2 linked regions of the Saccharomyces cerevisiae S288C genome follow. The protein of the gene in region 2 purifies or fractionates together with the protein of the main gene of each other region. This does not show direct contact. Each region holds a gene or a part of one and is shown on either strand. Other genes may lie near its edges.

Evidence for each region.
Region 1: the proteins of NOG1 (region 2) and PUF6 purify together in Saccharomyces cerevisiae (affinity purification with mass spectrometry; 5 studies listed by BioGRID, with this or other methods). This does not show direct contact.

The regions. Positions count from the first base shown.
Region 1 is NC_001136.10:1,441,666-1,445,420, forward strand, and holds the start of PUF6 (Puf6p), read right to left. Parts: upstream 1,739-3,755; coding exon 1-1,738. Other genes in the region: myo-inositol transporter ITR1, read right to left, coding at 2,048-3,755. UniProt on the Saccharomyces cerevisiae protein: RNA-binding protein involved in post-transcriptional regulation. Component of the ASH1 mRNP which transports the ASH1 mRNA to the distal tip of the bud, where the ASH1 protein is translated and targeted to the daughter cell nucleus.
Region 2 is NC_001148.4:369,004-372,758, forward strand, and holds the start of NOG1 (putative GTPase NOG1), read left to right. Parts: upstream 1-1,974; coding exon 1,975-3,755. Other genes in the region: EEB1 (medium-chain fatty acid ethyl ester synthase/esterase), read right to left, coding at 1-438; Sec63 complex subunit SEC62, read right to left, coding at 836-1,660. UniProt on the Saccharomyces cerevisiae protein: Involved in the biogenesis of the 60S ribosomal subunit.

The DNA of each region.
Region 1 (3,755 bases), on a different chromosome or scaffold from region 2:
CTTGAACATTTTTTAATGGTATGACCTTTTTTTCTTTGTTATTCCATTTACCACCTTGAATTAGTGCCTTTAATAGTCTAGTAGAAAATGCTCTATGTATTGGGTGCTCTTCTTCGGTTATGTCACCCTTAAAAGTAGTTAAAATGTTGTTTAAGACCTGTTGATACTTTTCTTGGTCTTTTTCATTCAGCTGCGCGTACAACTCATCGTTTATTAGAACTTCGGCAATGAACTGACAGCCTAGATTCTCTGTCAATATACTGGAATAATCTTTTGATATAGTGCTTAAAAACATGGGGGCGAATTTTGACAAAAGTTCGTGCCTTCTTTGTAAAGGATCCTTCTTAGAGGTGGCTTTGGACAGTTCAATGTATCTCAATAATTCATTCTTGACGATAGGTGAGAAATACTTACCGTCCAAACCTAATAGTATGTATAACCAAGGCCTTCTACCAAACTTATCAATTATGAATTCTTGCAAATGTTCCTTAACAGTAGGACTGAAAGTCTTGAATACTAAAACTGTATCGTCAACACAGTTCAGAATTGTAATGAAGACAATATTACCGTACTCATTTTTGATCAATTTTTCGGCGTGGTTTTTCAAAGCCTTTAAAATTAACTTTCTTTCCTTGGCGTTAGCTCTAGCAACCAAAGTACAAGCAACGTCTGAACCTTCTGGAGTATGCACCAATTCAGCGAATTGTTCATGAAGCAATTCGATCATTTCAGATATTTCCTTTTCGTTGGCTATTTTCACATATTCTCTCATAGCAGCATGTAGAATTTGAAAGCCGGTGGAACCCTTTTCTACTGATGCGGTAATGGTACCAATCAAGTTTCTGGCGATAATATTCCTTTTTTCAATGCTACTTTCACAAACTTTCTCAATGGTCAAATCTTTGTGGGTTTCTCTAAATACAGCATATTCAGAGCCCCAAAACTCTTTAATCATTTGTTGTCTTTGTTCATGTGTGGCATAAAGAACAAATAAATCTTCAACAACGTAGGCACCCTCACGATGTCTCATTAATTTTCTCAAAGAACCGTGTAATTCATTTATTATAGTTTGCCTTGAACTTCTTGAACCATAATGCAGTAACTTAACCAATAGATACTTACCGTACGCAGATGTGGCTAGAACATAAAATTTTCCCTTTAAAGCATCGACAATTTGTTCACGACGATCTTTGGACGAATACTTGACTAAAGTTTGAACAATACGGGAAGCATCATGCTTTAAGACAAGATCACTGATACAGTCCTTAGATAGCTCCCAGATTTCGTTGGAAAGTTTTTCACGAATCTGTTTTGGTAAAGGTGGGGTCTTCACACGCAATCTTTCCCAGACGGATTTAATTTGTTGCACTTGGGTACCAGATTTTCTTTGCATTTTCCTTTCTTTTAGCAGTTTTCTTTGTTCAGTGTGATTTCCATTTTCACCTCCTTCAGATTTGTCCTTTCCTTCTTTCTCTTCATTCTCATTTTCATGTTCCTCACTGTCATCGGAAATATCTAATTCGTCAGCTTCTTCTTCTGCTTCAGAGTCACTGGTACTTAAATCATCCAAATCATCATCATCTGATGAAGAGGATACAGCATCTTCCTTTTTGGATAGTTCTGATTCTTCATCAGACGAATCAATAGAAATTCTAGGTTTTTTGGCTAATTTCTTTTCTGAATGACTAACTTCTTTAGCAGAACGTTTTCCGTTTGTCTTCTTGGTTAAAGGTGCCATTGTCAGTTAATTTGTTATTCCTGATTGTGCTTTATTTCAGTACTCTATAATAAAACGCTTTCACCTTCGAAATACTTTAGGTAGGCATCTCATCTCATCCCAGCAAAAAAAATTTTCAGTATTTCTCTCAAGGTGAAAAAAAAAAAAGGTCTTCAATGCCGGGTTAGTTAATCTTCTATATATGCATACAACAATTAGTTCGACTTAAATACAATGAACTTTTTTCTATCTTGTAATTTATTTTTATTTATTTTCTACTATGTATTTGAATATTCAATTGCGTCTCCTTCCTTTTACCTCGTGAAAGGACTATATATCCTCTATAATCTCTTGAGTTGGTTCATATTTCAATTCATGAACTCTGGCAACTTGCTGTTTTCTCTTCTTGGCCAAAGCTTTCGAGGCTTTGATGTTGAACCCGTCCTTCAAAATAGTTTGTACCTCTTCTAACTCCAATCCCGATAATTCTGGATAACAGAAGTAGCAGAAAATGGTTGATAAGCACGACAATCCCGCGAAAAAGGCAAATGTACCTGCAGGAGTGATATTCTGTAACATGGTCAAAAATGTGGATGCAATAACCAGTGAACCAGCCCAGTTTGTAGCAGTTGCATATGAAGTCCCAATACCTCTCACGTTTTGGGGGAATAGTTCCGATTGTTGCCATGGAACAGTACCGATACCAAGAGCGTAGAACGCAGCAAATACGATAATAAATACGATGATCACAATACCCCAAGAGGAGAAACCGGAGGAAACCACCACAGCGACAGCGCCATCAAACTTAATACCTAGAAAATGGAAAGCAATAGAGCACACGACTAAAGCCATGGTCATGCCTGGTAATCCAATCAATAATATGGTTCTACGGCCTATTTTGTCAATGGAAAAAAAGGCAACTAAAGTGAAAATAAAATTGGTACCGGACACGATGATTGAAACAGCGGAAGAATTTTTGAAACCGACAGTTTCGAAGATGGTACCAGAGAAATACATCAACGAATTCCAACCGGTAAACTGTTGAATTGCTTGTAAACCACAACCAATGATCAAAGCCCTTAGATTAGATGGTACTGTGTGCAATTCTTTGATGGTATTCCAGACTTTTTCAGGGACATTCTTACCAGGAATAGATTGATTCAAAGTAACAAGTTCTTCCACCTTACGTTCAATGATTTCCTCCGAAGTGTCAGTGTAACTTCTCTTCAACACCTCAGTAGCCCTTGCCAAGTCGCCCTTCATAACGTAGTATCTTGGAGTGTCAGGTAAAAAGCACAGGCATGTGAATTGCACAGCAGTGGGAATTAGTGACAATCCAACAAGAATTCTCCAACCATTGTTGACGTAGTTTAACCCAGCACCGCAACCGTAAGCGACTAATTGACCACCAGTCAACCATAAGGAATTGATGACAGTTAGTCTCCCTCTGATCATTTTGGGAGCAATTTCACTGATGAAAAGTGGCGCGATCAAGGAGCCGATACCGACACCGAAACCCATGATCAGTCTACCAACAGCCATTTGCCAGAATGTGTGTGCGGAGACCTGTAAGATTGCGCCAATGACAAACATCAGATTCGAACCCATTAAACAACGTTTCCTACCAAATATGTCAGCTGCAGTACCGGCGAAAATACTGGTAATCAAAGCTCCCAGAGAGGTAGCCGCAGTGACAATTTCCTTCTCCCCATAAGTAAGTACCTTGTGGTCCAGATCTGTGCCGATCGAGATCAGCGCACTGGATATATAACCAGTGTCGTAACCAAACATGAAACCGGATATGGATGCGACAAAAGTCAGAGTGATGATGAAGGGCGAAAGAGATTGGTTAAAAGTGATCATGACCGACGTGTCATCCTCGTCGTTCACGGGTTTAATTTGAATCCTATCTTCATCATCGCTAGCGGGAGCCCTCTGTATTTCATGTGACTCAAGTGTAATTTTACCTCTCTTTGAAGGTGAGTCATGCTCACTGTTGAACTCTACACTATCAGCGTTGCCAACGGCATCACCAACA
Region 2 (3,755 bases):
GTGAAGACGAGGCCAACCCTTTGGATGGGTGGCCTTTTCATCGTTCGAAAATTGTTTCTCGTTAAAACTAGCCTTTTCAGCATTTAATGAATATGTTTGCTCCCATTCAGGCATAACCCAATCTGCAGTGCAGACCCCTCCATCAGAAAATTTTATAATCTCTCTTCCATAAAATACCTGAAATTTTTTGGAAAAATCACCGGCTGACAAATAAAGGGTCTGTAAGTAACCTGTGAAAAGCAAGCTGTTTAACCTAAAATTTGCACCATCTTTGAGTGTAGGCACGTGTTTGGTTACGAATTCATGAAGAGGAATTTGGCGCTTAGAATCTCTGAAAGCCAAAGACTTGGTTCCTTTCTCTCCCAGTACATGTTTGACGGTGCCGTTATAGCCCCAATGGCTAGGAGTGACAGTTGGATAGTAACCCGAGCGAAACATTAAAATGACAAATATGAAAATACTTGATATCTTGATCTTTTTGCTAATCTTCAAAAATACCGAAAACTAAGTAGGCAACCAGATGCAGAACCCTTCTTATATAATCGATTCCTGTAAGCAAGTGTCAGCAAATAGCTTCTATATAGAGACCTTTCGGTGAAAGTATATTAAAGCCGGCCGGAAATTGAGTAATAATAACCGCTAATTATGCGGTGTGTGGATTCAGATTTTTGCCAGGAGCGATAACCTTCAAATCTAAAACTACTCACTATAAGCGATGAAGCAACCAGATGGTAGCGCTTTGGTGCCGGTTCTCTTGAAGGTTTGTACATGTGCGAGTTCATGAGGTTACAATATAGAAGGTTTATACAGTAGAGCTATACAGGATAATGGAAGTTCAGTTTTGTTCGGCTTTTTCATTGATGGCTTTCTTCTTATTGCTTTCTCTCTTGGCTTGTTTCTTCTTCATTCTTTTCAGTTTCTTTTTGTAACTATAAGTATCCTTCTCACCAAAACCGTAAAGTGGCTTAAAACTCTCTAGTACACCGCAATCTTCGAACAGGTTGGGAAAGATCCAGAACCCACCAACATCTTTGTAGACAATTAATGACAAAACATATAATATCAATCTCAGGATAGCGACAGCAAAGAAGCCTGCTAAGATGCCGAAGGCACCCAGAGACACATAATAGGAGCCGCGTCTCATGGAGCGCGGCCACAATGGGTAGCATACGAGCGCCAATATGATGGACACGACACCAATGACGATCAAGTAATCCATGTAGGTTCTAGGGTTATAGTTCCAAACAAAGTATTCATCGGCTTCCAATTGTGCTTTATTCGAAACAATCAAGTGCGGAAAGTCCTTGCTTGGCTTCAATCCATGCTCTTTGCATTCTTGACTATGCAATTTTTTCACTGGGATCACCATTTGTGCCTTTATAAGTTGAATAAAGATTTCACGTGACTTAAGCTGGTCTTCGATCTTGTTAGAAGGTATAGTTGGATATATCTCTGGCTGTCTTGCAGATTTGTTGGCATACTCCTCAGAATGCAGTGCCCTAACAAATCTCTTGTAACGGAAGAAGTCTGTCTGCTTGGCCTGGAATAAACCCTGCCTTTGCTTCAACTCCTTATGGTTGCGTAAAAGAGTAGCAATGGCTGTAGCAGATCCGCCATTGACACTAGCACCTGCATTGCTACCTGGACCTACGGCTGACATGTTCTCCTGTGTTTGCTCGGCTACCATACTGCATTCAACTGCAATTATAAAAGCCCACTCTTCTCCCTCTTGATTTGTATGCCAGTATTGGGAAAACGACACGTCTATTCCGTCGCACACGATCTTCACTTTCTTTTTTTTTTTCAACTGAACGAAAAGTTTTTTCCGCAGCTCATCGCAAAGAAAAATTTTCACCTATGTACTACCTCATCTAATACAATATAAAGAATACACTTCAGATTTAGGAGTTGCAGCGTTTATAAAAAAGTAAGTGTACCCTCCAAAAGCAAACACATCTCCCTCCTATACCGAAGATGCAACTTTCATGGAAGGATATCCCTACTGTCGCTCCAGCAAATGATTTGCTGGATATTGTCTTGAACAGAACCCAGAGAAAGACACCAACTGTGATCAGACCTGGTTTCAAGATTACAAGAATCAGAGCGTTCTATATGCGTAAAGTTAAATACACAGGTGAAGGTTTCGTGGAAAAATTTGAGGACATTTTAAAGGGTTTTCCTAACATCAATGACGTGCATCCTTTCCATAGAGATTTGATGGACACCCTATACGAAAAGAATCATTACAAGATATCTTTGGCAGCTATATCTCGTGCGAAGTCCCTTGTGGAACAAGTCGCCAGAGATTATGTCAGATTGCTAAAATTCGGTCAATCTTTATTTCAATGTAAACAATTGAAAAGGGCCGCTTTAGGTAGAATGGCAACTATAGTCAAGAAATTGAGGGACCCATTGGCCTATTTGGAACAAGTCAGACAGCACATTGGTAGATTACCATCGATCGACCCAAATACCAGAACCTTGCTGATCTGTGGTTATCCAAATGTCGGTAAGTCCTCGTTTTTGAGATGCATTACCAAATCAGACGTCGATGTTCAACCATATGCTTTCACAACCAAGAGTTTATACGTTGGTCATTTTGACTACAAATACTTGAGATTTCAAGCTATTGACACCCCTGGTATCCTAGATAGACCCACTGAAGAAATGAACAACATTGAAATGCAATCGATTTATGCCATTGCCCATTTACGTTCTTGTGTTTTGTACTTCATGGATCTTTCCGAACAATGTGGTTTCACCATCGAAGCTCAAGTTAAACTATTCCACTCCATCAAGCCTCTATTCGCCAACAAGTCTGTCATGGTTGTTATCAACAAAACCGACATTATCAGACCGGAGGATTTAGACGAAGAGCGTGCACAATTACTGGAATCTGTTAAGGAGGTTCCAGGTGTTGAAATCATGACTTCTTCATGCCAACTGGAAGAAAACGTTATGGAAGTTAGAAACAAAGCATGTGAAAAACTATTGGCTTCTAGAATTGAGAATAAGTTGAAATCTCAGTCTAGAATCAACAATGTTCTGAACAAGATTCATGTTGCTCAACCTCAAGCAAGAGATGATGTCAAGAGAACACCATTTATCCCAGAATCTGTCAAGAATTTGAAGAAATACGACCCTGAAGATCCAAACAGGAGAAAGTTGGCCAGAGACATCGAAGCTGAAAATGGTGGTGCTGGTGTCTTCAATGTTAACTTGAAGGACAAGTACCTATTAGAAGATGATGAGTGGAAGAATGACATCATGCCAGAAATCTTGGATGGTAAGAATGTTTATGATTTCTTGGACCCTGAAATCGCTGCTAAACTGCAGGCTCTTGAAGAAGAAGAAGAAAAATTGGAGAACGAAGGGTTCTACAATTCTGACGATGAGGAAGAAATCTACGACGGTTTCGAAGCATCCGAAGTAGATGATATCAAGGAGAAAGCTGCATGGATTAGAAATAGACAAAAGACGATGATTGCTGAAGCAAGAAATAGGAAGTCCTTGAAGAACAAAGCTATCATGCCACGTTCTAAACTAACTAAGTCCTTTGGTAAAATGGAAGAACACATGTCCACTTTGGGCCATGACATGTCAGCCTTACAAGATAAACAGAACCGTGCTGCTCGTAAGAACCGTTATGTTGAAAGAGGTTCTGATGTTGTTTTTGGCGACCAAGATGCTTTGACAGCTTCCACTGAAAACGGTGTCAAGTTGAGACAAACCGATAGACTGTTGGATGGTGTTGC